Linked DNA regions of Elephas maximus indicus. The protein of the gene in region 2 purifies or fractionates together with the protein of the main gene of each other region. This does not show direct contact. Links are inferred from orthologs where the notes say so. Each region holds a gene or a part of one and is shown on either strand. Other genes may lie near its edges.

Evidence for each region.
Region 1: the proteins of TRIM27 (region 2) and KPNA1 purify together in Homo sapiens (co-immunoprecipitation; 3 studies listed by BioGRID and IntAct, with this or other methods). This does not show direct contact. The link is inferred for Elephas maximus indicus from reciprocal best matches to the Homo sapiens genes TRIM27 and KPNA1.
Region 3: the proteins of TRIM27 (region 2) and MAGEL2 purify together in Homo sapiens (affinity purification with western blotting; 3 studies listed by BioGRID and IntAct, with this or other methods). This does not show direct contact. The link is inferred for Elephas maximus indicus from reciprocal best matches to the Homo sapiens genes TRIM27 and MAGEL2.

Annotation. Positions count from the first base shown.
Region 1 is NC_064819.1:13,087,922-13,095,838, forward strand, and holds the start of KPNA1 (importin subunit alpha-5), read right to left. Parts: upstream 3,069-7,917; 5' UTR 2,891-3,068; intron 1-2,890. UniProt on the Homo sapiens protein: Functions in nuclear protein import as an adapter protein for nuclear receptor KPNB1. Binds specifically and directly to substrates containing either a simple or bipartite NLS motif.
Region 2 is NC_064819.1:85,514,651-85,522,082, reverse strand, and holds the start of TRIM27 (zinc finger protein RFP), read left to right. Parts: upstream 1-4,402; 5' UTR 4,403-4,781; coding exon 4,782-5,201; intron 5,202-6,461; coding exon 6,462-6,557; intron 6,558-7,432. UniProt on the Homo sapiens protein: E3 ubiquitin-protein ligase that mediates ubiquitination of various substrates and thereby plays a role in diffent processes including proliferation, innate immunity, apoptosis, immune response or autophagy.
Region 3 is NC_064831.1:99,075,597-99,082,622, forward strand, and holds the start of MAGEL2 (MAGE-like protein 2), read right to left. Parts: upstream 3,030-7,026; 5' UTR 2,920-3,029; coding exon 1,477-2,919; intron 1,315-1,476; coding exon 1-1,314. UniProt on the Homo sapiens protein: Probably enhances ubiquitin ligase activity of RING-type zinc finger-containing E3 ubiquitin-protein ligases, possibly through recruitment and/or stabilization of the Ubl-conjugating enzyme (E2) at the E3:substrate complex.

The DNA.
Region 1 (7,917 bases), about 72 Mb from region 2:
TAACAAGAGTGAAATCAGCTGAAATCACCTAACTGAAGTGTTCACCATTTCTGATATTTTCTTCCATTATGGCTGAATTCATAATATCCTGCAAAGTACACCGAGATCTTAAAACAAAACAAAGACAGTAACGAGATTATCTTTAGGTCATCTTTACTTGCATGGTCAATCAAAAGTTGATTTTATACACAGTATTCACACATACTTCCAAAAATAATTTGACAGATTTAAAGGCAAGACGTCAGAAAATCATCAAGACTTTATTTAATCATTAATTCAACAAACAACATGCTAAAACACTGGAGATAAAAAGAATAAAATATTTCTTGGAAGAAGTACAGCCAGAAAGCTCCTCAGAAGCAAGAATGGCCAGACTTCATCTCTCCTACTTTGGACATATTATCAGGAAGAACCAGTCCCGGGAGAAGGACATCATGCTCGGTAAAGTAAAGTGTCAGTGAAAAGAAGAAGACCCTCAACAAGACGGACGGACTGACTCAGTGGCCGCAACAACAGGCTCAAACACAGCAATGACTCTAAAGCTGGTGAAAGACCGGGCGGGGTCACTAGGAGGCAGAGCCGACTCGATGGCACCTAACAACAACAATTCAACCAGCAATATGCTGAAAACACTGGAGATAAAAAGAATAAGATGTAATTCCTGCCCTCAAACGGAAGAGGAAAGGTAAAATAAGAAAATAGTGAAGGCATAAGAGAACACAAAGAAAACAGGCCAGGAAACAACTGAGCATAATTCCAGGCTACCTCGCAAAAAATATACATAACACAGTTGAGGCTAAGGAAAATTACAAAAATTCAACACAACTCAGTTCTGAGCCTCCTGACAGCCAAAGTGTAAAGAGAAACAGAACGGCATTAAAACAATCATGATCTAATAAAAAGCAGTTGTTTAAAAAACTAAAAATAAAAATGACCGAGAAAAAAGCCTGGTACTGAGCTCGTAAGAATCTGTCTCTAAGGTCTCTATTTTATGAAGATCGATGAATAAATAAGAAATAGTGTCTCCAGGAGCAACGAAGTTAAGATTATTTTCATGTCCTTTCTTCTACGTCGATCCTAGATAAAAGTCAAGGTACATGATATTATATCATAGTTCTATGAAAAAATTTATTTGAGAAGCTAAAGTAACATTATGTAAGTATACTGATTTCATGGAATAGGTTTATTTTTGTCATTTGGTTCATTCTAGGTTTCTATGTTTTGATTTCCTATTAGACTGTAAACTCCTCAAGGATTATACTGTCTGCCTGCATTTGAACTTCCTTTGCTATTTAGTAAAGTGCTTTACAGTTTCTGCTCAATTACAACGACTAATAAAATGCCCTGCAGTCAGTATTTTATATTGTTAGTCTTTCCTGCTACATTATAAATTCCATGAGGACAGGGACAGTGTCTTGTATAAATTCCATGAGGACAGGGACAGTGTCTTGATGACGACTATATCTCAGGCACATGATCACTCCATAAATATTAGCTGAATAAATGAAATAAAACAAAACCCGTGAGTATTAGAGAAGAAATCTTAAAATGGAAGTGATTTAGGGCTCTAAGGCTGGTTCCAACAAGGCCTGAATGACCTTAGGTAAGTTACTTAACTTCCCCGACCTTCGATGTTTTTGTCTATATAACAGGACAAATTAATATTTACTTTTTAAAAATTTACTTCAGAGTTACTGACAACATTAAATGTTTTAATACATGTAACATACTTAACACTACGCCTTCAAAGGCGCTCAATTAATAGTCATTCCTCTACTTTCTCTCATGTCCTGCACGTCAAAAACATGAATCGCACATAAAACAGGGCCTTCCAAGACTAAATTATTTCAGTAAAAATAAAATAGAGTTCCTTCTCACTTTGCTTTGAGAAAATGTCATTTCTTCAGTCTTTAAAATCGGGGGAAAGTAATGTGAGAATTACTTTCAGAATATTACAGAAGGAAGAACAAATTAAGGAAACAACAATGCCAAAAATAAGCTTTGAAGCATGGGGGGTGGGGGGCGCCCGACGGCGGGACCACCTACCCATCCCCTGCTAAGAAATGGGGGCTTTGAAGACACCGTTTATTTAAGAAAAAGACTGAAAAACATCATTTAGCAGCCTTTACAGAAAAAAATTCACAGTCGTTGATTCTAAATTTAAATCTTAAAAGTCAATTGTTTTGCAATCTGTCATTGAAAAGGGGCTCGTTAAGTACTTCCTTCCGTTCGACCCTAAAACGTTCCTTCGCGACGATTTCCCTAAGTCACCGTTGAGTTTCCTCACGTTTTGAGCTGAACCTGACACCTGGCTGTTTCCCTCGAGTCGCACACGCCACGCACACGCGAACTTCTGTCATTCCTATAATTACCACAGCCCCGTCGGCCGCTTCGGGCCCCGGTTGTTATGACATCTGTAAACTGCAGTCGTTCCTGCCTCCTCCCAGGCCGCCCGGCCGCCGCTCCGGGCTGGGCCCCAACTCGTCGGTCCCCACGACGGCCCCTTCCTGCCCTGGCGACGGTTCGTCCTCGCCGCCCTGCCCTCCCCGGCCCGGGTCCCCGCGCTCCGCGCTGCCCGCCGCCGCCCCCGGCCGGCCTCACCCCGCCCCGCCGCCTCGGCGCCCCGCGGTCCCCGGCGCCGCTTCCAGCCCCGCCTCGACCGGCGTTCCTGACGGCGATCGCGCCCGCGCTCCCCACCCCCACCCTGGCCTGCGCCGGCCGCGCGGCCGTTAGTGAGGACAGCCGGGCCCGTGACGCACGGACGCGCCGCCAACGCCCGGGCCCGGGAGCCGAGCTCGAGCCCGGCCGGCGCACGCCCTCACGCCGGGGCCTCCCGCGGGTCGCACCGAGGGAGGGGGAGGGGCCGCGGCCGCGAGGCCCCAGCACTCACCAGGCTGAGGGCAACCGATCCCGGTGCCACTGCTGAGGTGAGCCGCTCGCCCGCCCGTCCGCTGTAGCTCCTCTGCGCACAACCTCGGAGAGCCGGCCGGCGCCGCGGCGGTGCTCACCAGGCCTCGCTCTCCGCCGCCGCGCACCGAGCAGCGAGACCAGCTCAGCCGGCGTTCGCACTGCGCCTGCGTGCGGGGGCCGGTCCCCGCGCCTGCGCGCTCCGCTCCGCCGCCCTGCCGCAGAGGCTGCTGGGAGACGTAGTCTTCCACCAGTGTGGCACTGAGCGCCGCTCGCCGTCTCCAGTCTGTAAGGAGCCTGGGGTAGGGGAGGGGGTTCGCTGTCCACAGCGCGGGTTGTAGATTCGTGGAGGCGTGACAGAGACGGTACTTCTTACTTTGTATGGCAAAGTTATGTTTACAAATCTGTCTTCACTAAACTTTTTCAGGGCGGATGAAGCCTCATTCACCTCTCCATATTTAGCTTCTGACATGGCAAGTACCTAATACGTGTTTATTGGATGAATGATGTATTGAAGCCCCAGGGGGCATTTAAAAAGTGTTAAAAGTGAGTGGCCTCAGGTCTAAGGCGTTCGCGTGCTGCATGGTTGCAGGAAGTCCCTGTGTATTCCACTTCTAATTCTTTCCTATCCCCATTGCCCGATAATATATGAGTAAGAAATTATATGAAACCCAAATAATTGTTTTGCTCTCAATAAGTGCTCTCAAACGAACATTTAGGGCACATAAATATTATGGTTAAATTTAAGGGAAAAAATATATAATGGAATTCTTCTTTTGAGGGAGCAAGTAAAGCAGTGGCTTCAAAAGAAGAAAGATGGAAGCCAACCAAGCAGAGGTCATGGAATAGGAAGTCTCACAGACGACATGTTTTATCAAATCAATTTAAAAGATAGGCGGAGAAGCCAGGAAAAAGAGATGGGGTAGGTTATTTACATTTATAAGTGAGGGAAAGACGGGAGGACCATACCACCTGAATCCTAGGTTAGGCAATGTTTGTATGTCCTGGATTTCTGTCTTCCCTATCAGCTTACCCACTGTGATGCACTTAGACGGATCAGACTGGAAGTTTGAGCAGGGGTGCTGAGGAAGTGGAAGGTGTTTATGGGAGAGACTTGGGAGCAAGGATGCCTGACCACAGCTAAGCTAAGGGCAGATCACCTATTCCAATTGGAAACTAGGATTATTCTGAGCTGGACTACCATCTTTATGGAAGCTAGTTGATTTCCAGTTCATCCTTATTCCTAGCTAGGGTACAGCCCTTGAGGGTCCCAGCCAAGTGTGGGGTATAGTTACTAGGGCCTCTTCTCCTTGGCTTGAGAGCAAGAGGTTTGGTTTTGGTTCTCCTTGGCCATGCCTCCCCAGCCCCAAGGGACAGCCAAAAGCTCTGCTCAGTTTTTCAGCCACTGCTTTCAGAATCTGTCATCTCAAGTGGAAAGCTGAGCTTCCCCTTTTTTCCAGATCTTGAACTCACAGGTTTTCACTGCCTTGGTAGCTCTTCAGTGCCTTAATCTTTTGTATATTTTGTCTAGTTGTTCTCTGAGAGTTGGTCTAATACAGCAACAGTATGCCATTGCTGGAAGCAGAATTCCTACATCCATGTTACTTTTACAAAAAACGTTATCATACATGGTGTTTTACAAACTAATGACTCTCTTAGTACATCTTTTTGTATTTTGAGAAATTAAAAAATTATAAAACAGTATTTTTGCTATGATAAACAATGCTGCTATGAACATTCTTATACAGGGAAACTGCTAGATCCTAGGAGGTTGACTATTTTCACTAGATGTGCTGCGAAGAATTCTAAGATGGTTCCAACTATCTCTGCTTCCTGGTGTTGCCTTATATAATCCCCTCCCCTTGATTGGGGGGCGGGAACTTTGACTTCTACCGGATAGAATATGGCAAGGGTGATGGGATGTTATTCTATGACTGTGTTTCACTATGGGAGACTCTGTCTTACTAACTGAGCTAGAGACTGGCCTGGTGGCCTTGAAGAAGCAAGCTGCCATGTTGTGAACTGAAAAAGGTCTCCTGGCAGGAAACCGTAAGTGACCCCCAGGACTCTGGGGAAGCCTCCAGGTCAACCAACAGCCATAAAAAGCCAGGGCCCTCAGTCATCGACCACAAACCCAGTGTCGTGGAGTCGATTCTGACTCACACAACCAGAAGGAAAAGAATTCTGCCAACAATCAGAGAACTTGGAAGCAGATTCTCCCTCAGTCACACCTCCAGATGAGAACACAGCCTGGCTGATACCTGATTGCAGCCTTGTAAGACCCTGAGCAGAGGAAACGCCTAAGCTGTGCCTGGACTTCTGACACCCAGATATTGTGAGCTAATAAATGTGTTTTAAGCCACTAAGCCTGTGGTAATTTGTCACACAGCAGTAGAAAACTAATACACTAGGTATTGCTGGATTATTTCACAAAGTAGTTGTACCAATTTATACTCCCACAGTTTATAATACTGTCTTTTCTACATATTTTTGCTAACATTTAGAAATGCCTGATTTTTTTTTTTAATTTTTGCCAGTCTGGTGTGGAAATAAATAATATATAATAAACAATCATACACATGCATTATTATTTTTATTTAAAAACATGAAAAATAGATGTTTACTTGAAATTATATAGTTTTATTTCTTTTCTGTTACATAAATGCTATTATTTAAACAAAAGAAATATGTGTGAAAAACATATAACAATATTTTTATGATGTTTCTGTCCTCTAATACAGAAATTTATTTTAACTCTTTTTTTAATTCCATTACATATTTAAATTTTATAGGCTATATTATTGTGTGTTCTTAAGATACATAAATGTGAGACTTTTTAAAAAGAGAATGTAAATACAATGGGACTAATTAAACAGATACTACCTATATTAAAAAGTAACAATGACATGTTTCTTTCTGTCCCAAGATACAGTAGGATATTTTTACTCTTTTAGTTGCCTTTTCTATTAATGCATCTCTGAACTCCCTGGAGCCTTTAGGGTATCTTTCTTTTCTTTTGTGTAGTGGTAAAACTGAATACAGTCAGACATAAAATTAATTTCGACTTGCAGCTCTGCTCTTATAATGCCTACATTGCACTGATTCCTGGTGTCAGTACAATGCAATGACATTAAATATTCTCTCAACAAACGTGTTTGAGCATAAAATACTTAGGATTTTACTTAATAACACAGCAGTTCTTTTAACTTGTAGGAATTCATTTCCAGCTTTCCAAAATGTCCATCCACTTTGTATCTACAAGCTTGCTTTGGTAAACTAGCTTTTGTCTGTCAATCGGGTCCTTTGCATCTATAATCATGTAGGTTCTCCATGTCTAAAATGCCCATCATTTTTAAACACTCTGAAATACGTTGAATGTCATCATAAGTTAACTCTCTTTTCCCCAGGCAAAATCATTTTAAAGCATAGAGGTGATTTGAATTGTGAAATCAAACTTGGAGTCCAAATTAGTCAGTTTAAAAATTATGAAGCAATCTTACTTACAAAAAAATTTAGTCTTTTTTTTTTTTTCTATGTGAGTTTTTATTGCAATCTACACAGAACATTGAACAACTCAGGTGCAGTCCGTTCATCCTTTTTCTAGGCTCGTTATGGCCTCTTCAAGGATTATCAAACAGTTTTAGAAAACAGTATGTATGTTTCTGTTTTACTGTAATCCTTGTCCCCTTTCTCATTCTCAATGTATTTCCAAATTGGAGCAGGATATTCTTCTTGTTGCACACTTTGAAAATGTGATTTTATGGCAAACAAATATTTTAACGTCTTTTCTACGGCCAGCAATGATGATAGTCATATTGTAGGCACATGTCTAAGGAGATTATCTCTGTCATGGATTGAATTGTCTCCCACAAAAATGTGTGTCGACTTGGCTAGACCATGATTTCTAGTATTGTGTGGTTGTCCACCATTTTGTGATCTGATGTGATTATCTTATGCGTTGTAACTCTTAACCTCTATGATGTTAATGAGGCAGAATTACAGGCAGTTATGTTAATGAGGCAGGACTCAATCTAAGGGATTGGGTTGCATCTTGAGTCAATCTCTTTTGAGATATATAAGGGAGAAACGAGCAGAGAGGAGAGCGGCCTCAAACCACCAAGAAAGAAGTACCGGGAGTAGAGCACGTCCTTTGGATCCAGGGTTCCTGCACTGAGAAGCTCCTACACCAGGGGAAGATTGATAACAAGGACCTTCCCCCAGAACTGACAGACAAAGCCCTCCCTGGGAGCTGGCACCCTGAATTCAGACTTCTAGCCTCCTAAACTGTGAGAGAATAAACTTCTCTTTGTTAAAACCATCCACTTGTGGTATTCCTGTTATAGCAGCAGTAGATAACTAAGACAATCTCATTCCATTTCTATGAAGTGAAAAATGTGATTAAGTGCTTTTCCACATTTTGAAGAAACTAAAGTGACCAAAACTTTCATTATGAAAGCTGCCATGTCACATGTAAGCAAACCACACTCCTCGTTTAGCAGTGTTGTTTACAAGGTGTGCAGGACGTTCGTTGTTTCTAGTTGCCATGGACTTGGTGCTGACTCATGGCGACACCATGTGTACAGAGTAGAGCCGCCCCATAGGGTTTTCATGGCTGTAATCTTTCAGAAGCAGATTGCTAGGCCTGTCTCCCAGGGTGCCTCTGGTGGGTTTGAAGCACCAGAGTTTTGGCTAGCAGTTGAGCACTTAAGTGTTTGCACCACCCAGGGACTCTTCGCAGGACATTTAGTAGATGAAATCTTTTCATTTTCTTCGTTAAGAAGTTTAGAGATTGAATGCAAAATTAGCATTTGCACTGAAAACACTTAAATGAGCCAAGTCAAGTTTGTATTTGGATATCAACAATCTTGTTTTATAGTTTTGTGGTTTCATTAAAATCTTCATAAAGATTGCAATCAATGTCATGGAACAATTTGTGTATGAATTATCGAATGGAAAACTGATTTGCTGTGTAAACTTTCACCTAAAGCACAGTAAAATGTTTTAAAAAAA
Region 2 (7,432 bases):
CTGGAAGGTGGGAAAATGGCACAACCGTGAACATGTGTGAGGCAGAAGATAATCAGCTACATTTTGGGTGTGTCGATAGCTTGAGATGGCTGGAATGGATAACAGAGATGCAGAGGGCAACCAGATGATAGTACTGAATAAGTGACTCAAGAACAACAGAAAGCAAAACACTTGATAACATTAAGTATGATTCTTCATAAAATGCTGCTGCTGATTAATCTGCCAACTGTATGTATTCAATGAAGGTACAGAGGTTGTGCTAAGGGAATAGAGAAAAAAGATTAGGGACCATCAGAGAAGAGAGATGCCATGGCATTTGAGTTGGGCCTTAAATGATGGAGACCTGGGGTTTGGGACAGACAGGCTGAGGGGTTGGCATGGCAAAGGTGGAGAATTGACTGGGCCAGAGTGTGAAGCAGGGGATGGGGACACAGAAAGGCCAGAAGGCCTTAGTAACTGCAGAGCTAGGATTCCAGGTAAAGAAATTGGGCATCTATTCTGCAATAAAGCCAGACGCCCTCTGCGATTTTCTAAGAAAATGAGGGCAAAATCCAAAAAAAAAGTAAGGGTTATAAAGATGAGAGATATACATAAAACGTGACAGTGGAAGCATTAAACTGCTAGTCTAATAGTTCAAATATTTATGGGCTTTTGATATGGTTAGAGGTACGTGTGAGAAATAACAGAGAACATACAAGAAGGTCTGATGAGGAGTCCCTCCCCTCATGGACTTAATTATGTGAGCTTGGTTTCCTTATTTATAAAGTGAGTGTATTAGACTACGTGAAAGCTAAAATCACTTCCTGCTCTAAAAATATGTCCTGATTTAGAGCTTTGACAGAAAAGCAAGAGTTTCATGCAAGGCAAAGTCAAAGAAAGTCATATGATAGAAAATAAGCAAGTGCCTTGTGAGGTTCTGTGTGAACACAGGAGCCTAAGCGGAAAGAAGAGAAATCAATGAGGCCAGCCTTTTTCAGATAAGCTCTAAGGATGGGGTGGGATTCTTGAACAGGCCTTGTAGAGAGGGTTGTGGCAAGACTGGAGGTGTTGTTTGAGGACAGTGAAGGTATCAGCCTGTGTTGGAGGCTGGAGGTACTCAGATGGGACACCATCTTAAAGGATTTGGACAATGTCCTAGAGACAAAAAAGGAAGCATTGAAGATTTCTCAGTAAGAAGTGGCAGAATGAAAGAAGCATGTTAGGGATGTTTAAGGATGATTCTTTCCCTTGAGGTGGTAATCACTAGAGGAAAAAGTAACAGACTAGAGGAAAAAACTAGAAATAGGGACACTAATAGGAAATGGTTGCATTTATCCAGTTATTAATTCATTTCAAAAACATTTGTAAACTGACTATTGTAATAACTTAAGTCAGGGTGTGGTGATTGAAATAAAAATGAATAGAGGCCAAGTTGAGCAATAAAAGCAAAGCAAGAAAAAGAAAAAGAAAATTTTTTTCAAAATTCCAATAAGTCTAGAAGATAAAGGAAAGACAATAAAATCATTCTTTCAGCAAACTTTTATTGACCATTAGCCACATGCCAGGCAGTATTCAAAGTCAGACAGAGTAGAGTTTTGCTCCCAAGGAGCTCTCAGTTCAGTGAGGGGAACACACAAAGGAATGCAGGATGTAGTGGTAAACAGTAAGTGAGCTCTCACAAGAATTCTGTGAGTAGGTAGAAAGGCTTCACTGCATTTGAGAGGAATCTTAAATGTTACCTAGACAGAAAAAGTGTATGTGACAAAGGCTTTATAAGCAGATAAACCAGCAAATTCTAAAGTAGAGCATCTGATCCCTCTTATCTCAGGGATACAGACCTGTAGTTTGGCTTTGTTTTTCAGAATTGATGGTGTTATCAACTCCTTGTCAACCCCAGAGGTGGGTTATGGATAAAAAAAAAAAAAAAAAAGGAAAGGTGGGGTAAAATAGGTAGGTTGAATGGGGATGAATGGGGATGGGTGAGAGAAAGGGGAAAAGGGAAGACTTGCACTTGGTAGTTTCTACCAAAGGAGCCCTGCCGGTGCAGTGGTTAAGCACGCAGCTGCTAAATGAAAGGTTGTGGGTTTGAATCCACCAGCACTCAGCTGGAGAAAGATGTGACAGTCTGCTTCCATAAAGATTACAGCCTTGGAAACCCTCTAGGGCAGTTCTACTCTGTCCTATATGGTCGCTATGGGTCGGAATTGACTCATATGGTGCACAACAACAGTAATGTCTACCAGCCCATTTCCTTCTTGAATATTCAAAATGCCAGTGACACCTTAAAAATGGCCACTGTGGCCGCCTGCACCGTGAATTTAAACTCTTTTAGGATAGCGGAGATTGGACCATGGGCCGGGCCTTAGGAGGCCCCAGGAGCTTGAGACTCAGGGAGAGGTGTGTGGGTGTGGAAGAAAACACTAAGCTGAGGGAGCTTGATGGTCATACCCATTTCTGAGTTGGAGACATAGAGAGCTCTTACTGTTCCCACCCTGTTCCCTTTCCAGTGTGTCTCAATTGAAGTGGCAATTCAATACTCATTATTTCTGGCTAGAACCCAATCTTTGGACAAATCTAAGTATTTGAAGAAAGATATAGTCAATGTATCAGTTTTTACCGGGGGAACTACCATTTTCCCAGCTGACAGGCACAAAGCCACTCATCTCCCTACCACAGTTTCTCCTCATTCTAGTTTATCCTTTGTTGCCTTCAGTTATTTTCCTAGAAAACAAATTCTGACCTGTGGAAAAACTGCTGGTTCCTTGTTCCTACAATACCGAGTTCAAACTTTCAGAGAGTGACAGACAAGGCCCCTTCATGGTCTAGCACCAACCGCCTTCTCTAGCCTTGTCTCCATTGCTCGCACACACACACACACACACACACACGCACACACACACACTACACTTCAGTTACACCAAACTTCTCACATCCCATAAGTGAATATAAGGCTTTTCCAGATGTTTTTTAGAAGTGGGCTGGGGCTATCCGGAACTGAAATTGCATACTGGGATACTCAAAAGAATGTGGTTTGGAAGGGGGATATGGGCTTGAGGTTGGCAAGTCCAGTTAGTCTGGTCGATGTCTTGCCCCATAAGTGAGGAGGACCAAAGTGGAACTTTTAAAGTGAGGAGTAGGAAGCAGAGGCCCCTCTTGCTGGTGTACAAGGATGATACTGAGAAAATATCTAAGGAAACTAGGAAATAGCAAGGTAGGGATGAAGGAGCAACACAAGAGCTTTAAGTCTACTAGATGAGAAAAGGCCTGCTGGTGTAGAGGTTAAGTGTCTACGTCTGCTAGTCAAAAGGGTTGGTAGTTCGAATCCGCTTGGTACCCCTTGGGAACTCTATGGGGCAGTTCCACTCTGTCCTTATAGGGTCGCTATGAGGCGGAATCGACTCGATGGTACGTACTGGGCTTGGTTTTGGTTCTTTTGGTGGACGATGAAAAGAGAATGGGCATTGTGGAATTCCAAGGGCTTGGGTCACTGCAGGTTTCTCAACCTTCCTATGCTTTGGGAAGGAACAAGCAATTTTTTAAAAGTTCTACTCAAAACAACCTTTAAAACCCTGTGGAGCAGTTCTACTCTACGCACGTGAGGTCACCACGAATCGGAATTGACTCCATTGCAACCAACAACGACAACATGCAGTAGCTATTTTATTGCTATTTTCATAGTAATTAACCCCATTGCTGTCGAGTCGATTCCGACTCATAGCATTATGGTTCAAAAATAAAGGTATAATAAAGTCTCCTTCCTCACTAGGGGTACAGTTATCATTCCCATTCAATCGGGCGGGGGGGTGGTGCGGGGAGGGGAACTATAAGCCCAAAACCGTAAACCAGCTTGTTTGGGCACAGACGGAAAAGTAGCAGAACTGGGCTTGTCTGACTCCATTTACAACCCACAGAAACGATAATTTGCCTAATAATTAAGCCTTAAAAAAAAAAAAAAATCCAAGAGCCTGTAAATGGAGCTGTTCGATAAAGTGTATCTGTCTCACATATCGGGTGGGGTGCAGTCGGTTCCCCCCGTCCCTCCGCCCCATGGGGCAGGCCAGATGTCTGTGCTTCCCAGATCCAACACAAAGCCAGCTTTCCCTCTCAGGAGCTGAGGCCTCGGCACAAAAGAGGTAACCCAACAAAAGACTAGGGGTCCAAGACCGGGAAGGAGCGCGGAAGCTCGGAGGTGGGCCCGAGCATGAAGGCTGGGGTGACCCTGTCACTGCTGCGCCCGGCGGACACCGCCTGCCCCTGTCACAGGCTCCCGAGGCTCCTGCTCCAGCGCGTTCCGCCCAAATACCGGCGGCCCCGCCACCCAGTCCTTTCTGGGAGGAAACAGTCCAGGCCTGGAGGCCACAAAACCCTGTCGCGCTCGGGAGGCCCGGCCCAAGCCCCGCCCCCCCGAGCCGCCTCTTCCGTTAGCGCCGGGGTGGGGTCTACACGGCCTCGGGGATCCGCTAGAACGAGGCCACGTTGTCCTGCGCGCTTAGCGCGCCTGGCCCCGCGAGTCCGGTCGGCTGCGCCCACTTCCTGGACCCCTTGCCTCGGTACGGGTCTCCGTGGGACCGGAGTGTCCCGGCGCCCACGCAACGGGGCGCCGAGAGGGGCCCCGCCACTTCGAGTCTCCAGCGCGCGGGCGCGACCGGGATCTGCGACCAGCATCTGGGCCCGGAAGGCGCCGCCCCGCTCACCTCCCCGCGCGTCCTGAAGTGGAGACCCGTAGGGAGCGCAGTAGAGTGGGGCTCCGCGCAGAGCTCAGCGAAGGGGCCCATGCCCGTGCGCCCCCGCGGGCCAGCGCCATGGCCTCCGGGAGCGTGGCCGAGTGCCTGCAGCAGGAGACCACCTGCCCCGTGTGCCTGCAGTACTTCGCCGAGCCCATGATGCTCGACTGCGGCCACAACATCTGTTGCGCGTGCCTCGCCCGCTGCTGGGGCGCGGCCGAGACCAACGTGTCGTGCCCGCAGTGCCGGGAGACCTTCCCGCAGCGGCACATGCGGCCCAACCGGCACTTGGCCAACGTGACCCAGCTGGTGAAGCAGTTGCGCACCGAGCGGCCGTCGGGGCCCGGCGGCGAAATGGGCGTGTGCGAAAAACACCGCGAGCCCCTGAAGCTGTACTGCGAGGAAGACCAGATGCCCATCTGCGTGGTGTGCGACCGCTCCCGCGAGCACCGTGGCCACAGCGTGCTGCCGCTCGAGGAAGCCGTGGAGGGCTTCAAGGTGAGGGCCCGGCGCGCGGAGCGGGGAGGGGCGGGGAGCCGGAGTCGGACAAAGGGAGGAGAGAGCCAAGGGGGTTTCCTTTTTTCCGCCTAGAAAATGGCTGAGCCGGACGTGTGGTTCACAGCCGTCATTTCCTCTCTGTCCGCTTCAGAGCCTTCGCACTCAGATTTGGGAGAAAAACCTGTAGCTGGTGAGGAAGCCAGAAGTCTCCCCCACCCCCCACTCTGCTTTCCCTGTTATACCCCTGTGTTTACCCGCTCACGGACACGTAGTGTATAAAGACGGCCCCCCGTAGAGACCTCCCCACGCTCCCACCCCCCACCCCCACCTGGACATTTTGAAAGGTGTGAGGAAAGCGACATACACATCAGCCACCTTCAGAGACACAAGTACTCCTGTGGGCTCTGATCTCAGACAGAACACACCCGGAGGTTAACTGGCTGTACATACATCGAATCAAGCCTATAAGCATTTCACCAGCACTTCCCTGTGCTCTGGCCTGTTCTACAAGCTCCTGGAAAAGAACAGAGCACTTTACTGCTTGGGCAAGTCATTTAACCTCTCTGAGACTCAGGAGGGTAACAACACATTATTATGAAGATTAAGTGAAATATGTGTGGAGCCCTTTGTGAGCTGTTGGATCAACAGACTGACACAGCTAAACACTAACATGGAAACAAAGTATTAAATATAAGTTTTAAGGCAACATTCAGGGAATGCATGATGCTGTGATACCTGTATACTTGAGTGCTGCAGGGATACACAATTATACATGTTTAAATGTGAGTACATTAATACATAATTTGCCACTTAATGTTTAGAGTGCTTTCACTTAATTATTTCACTCACCTTCATGATAAACACTGAGTAGTTTGGGAAGGTGGTGTTCATTCACCCATGTTATAAAAAAAATGTTATACATGGGGAAAATAAGAGAAGTCATTTTCTCAGGATACCTCTGTGGAGGAGTTAGTTTGGCTTTAAGCCTCTTAGTGCAGTCACCTTCCCAACGAAACTACAGTATCCTTCCTGGGGAGAAGGTAATCCACTGTTTAAGATACACACAAACAGACAAAGGAGACCCTTGGTGCCCCCCTGGGTTCTTGGCCTTTTTCTCCGTGGTGGCAATGTGGTCTAAAGACAGGCTCTAACCAGGGTCTTGGCATGAGGTGTGTGGGTTCCATGTGTGACATGCAGAATAACCATGATGATGCTAAAGTTTTCCTAATCCTGAACTGGCAACTGTCATGGTTTCCTCAGGAGCAAATCCAGAACCAGCTGGACCACCTAAAAAGAGTGAAAGACTTAAAGAAGAGACGGCGGGCACAGGGGGAGCAGGCACGAGCTGAACTCTTGGTAAGGGTCATCACGAATGATGGATAATATTACTTCTGCTGGCCAGTCATTCCCTCTTCTCTGGGCTGATGCTACTTCTGTTATCTTTGTTCAGCCAGGTCACCCACAGCTGTTAGGTGCAGTTGGGATCTCATCTGGACACCTAATAGATAACTAAGCTTATTTCCACATTTTGGGGAAAGGATGGAGGAACCAAGGTGGGAATCCCTGGAGATTCTGACCTTCAAAGAAGATTTAACCTGCTAGCTTTGTATAGATCAGCATTGATCCTTGACAGAGCTGAAACAGGTGAAATTTGGGGCATACTTAGCTTCCTTTCATATCATCCTGTAGACAGGAGCTAATAGTGACTTTGAGTAAGCCTTGCTGTTGCTTCTTGCCTGGAATATTCCTATCCTTGACAGTTTATCAACTCTGAACTTTTCATTTTGCTCTCTTCCCCCATCCTTCCAAAGCCTTGCCAAGTAGCTCATGTGCTTATTTCTGATAGGAGTATTTGGGCGTTTTGTTTTTGAAAAAATATATACATGTATATATCAAAAAGTACAAAAACTTTTGCAACACACACTTATATTTCCACCACCCATGTGTTTATACTTTTTTATGGGCAATAATTAAAATAGTACAAATATTCTTCCAGTAGAGATATTTGCATCTGAAAAGCAAACTCCTAAACTAGTAATGTCTAGTCCTGTCTTGTGAGAATTTTTGTTAACTACTCCTAGCCATGGTTGCACAGTGGTTAAGTACTACGGCTGCTAACCAAAAGGTTGGCAGTTCAAATCCACCAGGCGTTCCTTGGAAACCCTATGAGGCAGCTGTGCTCTGTCCTATAGGGTCGCTATGAGTCGGAATTGACTCGACAGCAATGGGAT
Region 3 (7,026 bases), on a different chromosome or scaffold from region 2:
GCTTTCCCAGACGCTCAGGACCCTTGAGGTGCTTGGGCACTCCCAGGCATTCAGAGCCCAGGAGGTGCTGGGCCCTTCCCAGCCACTCAAGATCCTGGAGGTACTAGGGCCCTCCCAGCCACTCAGGCCACAGGAGACGCTCAGGCCCTCCCAGTCACCCAGGACCTGGAGGGGGCTTTGGCCCTCCCAGTCACTCAAGTTCAGATTGCTCCAGGGCCTTGGGGCCTGCCAATCATGCAGGGCCAGCATATGACCACTGCTGTCTTCTTGGGCATTCAGGTGCTTCTTCTTCCGGGCAACTTTGCCTGAGCGGCGCTGCTGGGAAGTCTTAGAGGCCTCATCGTTGGTGGCTGTTGCCCGAGGAACAGCTGCTGAGGCCATCAGGAAGGTGGGTGCTGACTTCCATGCCTTTGAGGCATTGGAGTTGGGCTGAGGAACCCAGGAAACAGCAGGCAGGGCTTCTTCACAGGCAAATGGATTCTGCAGAGCAAGCGGCAGTGACTTCGGGGTTTCTGAGGTCACAGTTGGACCCTTAAAGGTAACAGAAGAGGCAGGGTAGATCGGGGAGGTAGCTGGAAAGACCCTTGAGGTGGCAGTAAAGGTCTCTGATGTGCCAGGTGGGTTTTTCCAGGCAGTTGGCAGGTATGCCCGGGCAGTTGACACTGCCCTTGGGGCACAAAAAGTGCCAGCGAAGATCATGCGGTCCTTCGAGGGAGTCCTGCGTTCCTTTGAAGAGGTCCGGCGTTCCTTGGAGGAGGCCCTAGGGTCTACGGAAGAGGCCCTGGATTCTCCGGATGGAGGAGTCATCAGTGATTTAGCAGAGCCCCTGTGAAAATTTGCAGCCCCTAAGGAGGCTGCTGACTGGGCCTGCATGGCTCCGGGTGGGGCCTGCCAGGAGGGCTGGAGCTGCAGAGGGGGCAGCTCTGCTTGCGAGCCCGAGCCCGATGTCTCGGCCTGCTGGGTGGGTAGCTGGATTTGCAGGACCTTCTGGGAGGGCGGGGCCCCCTGAAAGGGCTGCTCCAGCTGGACCAGCTGCGGGCCCTGCCTCTCCACTTCCTGGGCCGGCAGGGGCTGCCAAAAGTGAGCAGGGGTCTTCGGGGCTGGCCAGGTCTGCTGCACCTCCTGGAACTCCATAGACGTTGGCAACTCGTGCGGCACTGGGGGTTGGCCCTTGGGGGCCTGCCAGATGATGGGCGGGCAGTGCGCGATCTGCTGAGTCGAAGGCTGGGCCTGGGGCGCCTGTGGTCCTGCTGGTGGTGCCGAGGGCACCTGCGCAGGCAGTGGAACCGCCCGCACCTGCGGGGCCGCCTGCACCTGCGGAGCCGCCCGCACCTGCGGGGCCGCCCGCACCTGCGGGGCCGCCCGCACCTGCGGGGCCGCCCTCACCTGCGGGGCCGCCCGCACCTGCGGGGCCGCCCGCATCTGCGGGGCCGCCCGCACCTGCGGGGCCGCCCGCACCTGCGGAGCCGCCTGCACCTGCGGGGCCGGCAGCCGAGCCTGCGGGGCCTGCCTCAGAGGCGGAGGAGGCGGAAGGGCCTGCCAGAGAGGCGGCGGGGTCGCCAGGACCTGCGGGGCTGGCCGGATGGGCGGTGGCGCCTGGCGGATCAGCGGAGGGGCCTGGCGGATCTGGGGTGGGGTCTGGCGCACCGGCGGCGGGCCGGGGCGGATGGGTGGCGGGCCTGGTCGGATGGGCGGAGGGCCCTGGCGCACAGATGGAGGTGCCTGCCAGGCTATCGCTGGGGCCTGCCAGGTGACCTGCGTGGTCTGCCAGCCTAGGGGTGTGGCTTGCCAGCCTTGTGGAGGGGCCTGCCATCCCGGCGAGGTGGCCTGCCAGCCCGGAGGCGTGGCCAGCTGCGCCTGCGGGGCCTGAGGACCCTGGGGAACCTGCGGAGGAGCCCTTATAACCTGAGACTGGATTTGCAGGATCAGAGGCTGAGCCTGTGGGGCCCAAGAAGCCAAAGGCTGCCCAGGTGGGGCAGCTGGCTGCGCCATCGGGGCTCCTGAAGCTGCAGGCTGGGCGATCGGAGCTCTGGAACCCGGAGGATGCATCATCAGAACGCCAGGACCTGGAGGCTTGGCCATCGGGGCTACCGGAGGCAGCGGCTGGGTCATCAGGACTCCGGGAGGTGGATGCTGAGCCGTTGGAGCTCCCGGCGCTGGAGGCTGGACCATCAGGACTCCCGGCGTCAAAGGCTGGGCCATCAGGACTCCAGGAGCTGGAGGCTGGGCCATGGGGGTCCCCGGCGGGGGAGCATGGGCCATTGGTGTCCCCGGCGGGGGAGGGTGAGCCATCGGTGTCCCCGGAGGGGGAGGATGGGCCATCGGGGTCCCCGGAGGGGGAGGATGGGCCATCGGGGTCCCCGGAGGGGGAGGATGGGCCATCGGGGTCCCCGGAGGGGCCGGGTGCACTATCGGGGTTCCCGGAGGAGGCGGGTGGGCCATCGGTGTCCCCGGAGGGGGAGGGTGGGCCATCGGAGTCCCCGGAGGGGGAGGATGCGCCATGGGGGTTCCCGGAGCTGAATGATGGACCATAAGCACTCCGGGAGCTGGAGGCTGGGCCATCGGGGCTCCCGGCGGGGGAGGAGGATGGACCATCAGGACTCCAGGAGTCGGAGGCTTGCCCATCGGGCCTCCCAGAGGGGGAGGCTGGACCATCTGGGCCCCTAGGGCCGGAGGTTGGGCCATCGGCGCCACCGGGGCTGGCGGCTGGCCCTGTGGGGCCTCCCAGGCAGGCTGAGGTGCCGGCCAAGCACCCAATGAAGCCTGCAAGTCAAGAGGAGGTGGATCCCAAGGGACTGGTGGGGCCCGGGAGGAGGCGGGCGGGGCCCGCATCAGAACCGTAGGGCGGCTATAGACCGGTGGCTTCGGGCCCTCGACAGGAGGGCTCGAATCACCCAGATTCTTACTTAGCTGCGACATGTCCCTTTGCTCTGACAGCTGGTGGGCCTTTTCCTCGGACAGCTGCTGGGCCTTTTCCTCCAGAGAGAAGAGAATGCCTACGTGGCTGCTCAGAGGCTCCCTCCCCGCTGACTGCTGAATAGGAAGTGAGTGCTTCTCTCTCTGCAGCTTTCCGCAGTAAGGAGGAGGGGGGAAGGGGGCTCAATCCCGCCCCCTTCCCCGCCCCCGACCACCACAAGTGGATAGAGCATAGGGGCGTCTACCAGAAGTCCTGGCTGACACAAGATCCCTTCTCACTGTGTCCAGTCCCCAAATGCAGCCTACTCAGCCTCTCCATGGATGACTTTTCACAGGGGAGTGACAGGGACAGATCTATGTTTTAGAAAGATAACTGTACAGCAGTGTGGAATGGGGACAGACCGCTGGGAACATGGAAGGCATCCAGAAGGGGGGAGATGGTGTGACCCGCGCTCTGATAGGAGAGGGAGGATGTAAGAAGTACGTGGATGCACTGAGATTTAGGAGGTAGAATAGGGGCTGTTATACTTTAACGTAGGTGTAAAGGAGATGCAGACGGAATGCATGTCTCTATCCTGGGAAAGTGGGACGTTGTTGGTACCCATTTACTCTCTTAGGGACACAGTGCGAGGCACATGGGGAGACGCTTCGATGAGCGTTGATTGGGACATAGGGCATTTACACTGCTGTGGGACCTCTCAGGAGAGGGGCCCTGAAGGCACTTGTGTATGGCTTGGAGCTCATAAGACACCTGGGCTAGGAGTCAAATATGGGCACCCCTCCTTAGAATAAAGCTGTGGGAATGAATGTGTTATGGAAGCAAAGACTTTAGAGCGAAAAGTATAGAGGCCAAGAAACTCCTGAGAAATGTCTTGAAGACTACAGGCAGAGAAAAGGGATTGCTATCAGTAGAGAGAGAAAGAAAGAAATCCTGGAAATTAGTATGTGCCCAAAATTAATAGAAGAGAGCATTTTCTCGTATGGTGAAAACTTCTGGAATGGCTGGAATGATAGTTGAAGTGGGTTTCTTGCTCATGTTTGCCAGTTGCAGAGCAGAAAATAAATTGTGTTAATGAAAACAAACAAAGTCACTAGAAAACAATAACATGAATGAACACATCGAAGATTGATACTTAGGAAAGTGGACAAAGAGTAAAATGCAAAATTTCTGGGGAACCAACTCATGGGAAAAAAAATAAAGAAATAAAAAAACAAACCTGTTGCCCTTTAGTCAGTTTTAACTCATAGCAACCCTATCGGACAGAGTAGAGTTGTCCCATAGGGTTTCCAAGGCTGTAATCTACAGAAGCAGACTGCCGCATCTTTCTTCTGTGGGATAGCTGATGGGTTCAAACTGCCAACCTTTCTATAGCAGCCAAACCTATAACCACTGCACCACCAGGGCTTCTCTCATGGGAAAAAAATCCACTTAAAATGGGAAGATGATGTATTAACAGACAAAGGAGAAGATATCAAAAATACTGGGTAAGACTATATTACTTATAAGACTATACCAGAATGTTCTTTAGAAGTGAGGATGGTGAGACTTCATCTCACATACTTTGAACATGTTATCAGGAGGGACCAGTCCCTGGAGAAAGACATCATTCTTGGTTGAGGGTCAGCAAAAAAGAGGAAGACCCTCCATGAGATGGACTGACACAGTGGCTGCAACTATGGGCTCAAGCATAGCAATGATTGTGAGGATGACACAGGACCCGCAGCGTTTCTTTCCATTGTACATAGTGTTGCTATGATTTGGAATCTACTCAGTGGCACCTAACAGCAACAATATAATGCTTTTGCTGAAAGGAAGTGACTGTCTGTGTTTAGTTGGGCAGCTTCTTGAAAATATAAAATATCCAGTTGCTGTCAAGTCAGCTCTGACTCGTGGGAACCCATGTGTGTGAGAGCAGAAATGTGGTTCATAGGGTTTTCAATGGCTGATTTTTCAGAAGTAGATCACCAGGTGGTTCTTCCACAGCACCTCTGGGTGGATTTGAACCTCCAGCCTTTCCCTGCTAACCATTTGAACCACCCAGAGAAAATATACGAAGTACTATCAACATTGAGGGTGATACGTAGAGGAGGGTTCACAGTCTAGGATAAGAGTCCAGAAAACCCAGAAACCCAAACCCATTGCTGTTGAGTGGATTCTGACTGACAGCGTCCCTATAGGACAGTAGAACGGTTCCACAGGGTTTCCAAAGAGTGCCTTTGTATTAGAACTGCTGACCTTTTGGTTAGCAGCCAAGCTCTTAACCACTATGCCACTAGGGTTTCCACCTTCAACCAGTGTCCCTCAAATTTGGTAATATGTAATTACCAAATGAAGACATTATGCATTCCCAAGGGAGTGCATTGCCTTCAATAATGAGAGAAGAATTTAGGGGTGATGTTTCATCTTAGTCTCCTGGTGCAACCATAAAGAAAATACCACAAATGTGTGGCTTTAAAAAACAGAAATTTATTTCTCACAGTTCTAGAGGTTAAAAGCTCAAATGGGAATTTTGGTCATGTCATTCCTTCCTTGTTAGTAGCCCTGGGCGTTTCTTGGCATTCCTTGGCTTATAGATGATCCTCACAGGATATCTGCCTTCCCCTGTGTGTTTCTCTGTGTCTGTTTTGGTCTTTTTATAATTCAGAAATGATTAGGTTTAGGATGCAGCCTGCACTGATATGACCTGATTAATATAACAGAAGAAAAAGCATTTCCTATATATTGTATCCACAGGTACAAGGTAGAGGGGTTCAACAGATATTTTGAGGGGGGATACAGTTTGGTCTATAATAAGTTTCAGTGACTTTCCTGGCAATTGAAGGAACGGGAAGCCATCCCAGAACATTCTTGCTTTTCAAATGCAAGTGGCTTATTCAGGGGACCTGAAGATATGTCACTCCCGTGTACACCCAAAGAAGGCGCTTCACTTGTTAGGCACTTGGCATGGCACACAGCAAGTTGCTTCTACGGAATGGATACTGTCATGCTTTGTGTTTTCCAGGACTCTCCTTGGTGTCAATAACCCATTTTAACATAGGACTTTGAACTTTCATAGGGGTTTAGAGACTGCTCAGTGGGGACAGCTTTACACACATAACCCTCATGTTTCCCTGTTAATCACCTTTGCCTCATAGGAGTTTCTGGCTGTGGGTGGCTTTGGGACAGTCTATTTTCCAGCCTATGTAATTTCCACCCTAAGGCTTACTTTTCCTCCTCCACTTCAAAGGTACAAAGTCATTAGAAATTGAGTTCTTCCATTAACTGTTTCTTTTTCAGGATTATGGCTGTTTTGATCCTCAGTCCCCCATTCTGTGGGTCATCCCACACAGCAAATGGCTATCAGTAAGACCTGATTGTCCTAACTGGTGTTGGAGTTGAATGAGTAATACGATGTCAGCTTCCACTAAACTCAGCCTATGAATGGAGCCCCAGTTTATGCTTACAGGAAATACAGCAGCCAGAAAGGAAGTGCCAAGAATGTGCAGGGAAAAAATGTGTGGATGTTAGTAGAGGTGGAAGGTGATCAAGTCAACCATCATCACCTTTGCAACTCCTTGGTACATTCTTGAACTAGGGTGTAAAAATTCAGACACAAGCATCCAGTTATTCTGTTGGAACCAGTAAAACCAGTTGCTGTTGAGTCAATTCCAACTCATGGTGACCCCATGTGTGTCAGAGTAGAACTGTGCCCCATAGGGTTTTAAAAAGCTGACTTTTCTGGAAGTAGATAGCCAGGCCTTTCTTTCAAGGTGCCTCTGGGTGGACTTGATCCCCCAACCTTTTGGTTAGTGAGCTATTGAGCGCATTAATCATGTCCACTACCCAGGGACTCCTGTTGGGGCCAGTAAAGGTAGGTACACTGAGTTTATTCTGTCCATGAAAGTACATCTCTCTATTTTAGATAACCAGTTCTCTTAGACCCAGAGCACTTGACTGTCTCAGTCTAGCTATTCACAAATTACCTATCCTCAACATCAAATGTACCTGAGGAACCAAAGGACATGCAGCCCCTTTGTGAAAACTGTCTGCCTTAATAACAGCAAGGCTCAATACTGCCCTGAGACCAGTGGGGAATTTGGACTACAGACCTTAAATTAGTTGCATACTTG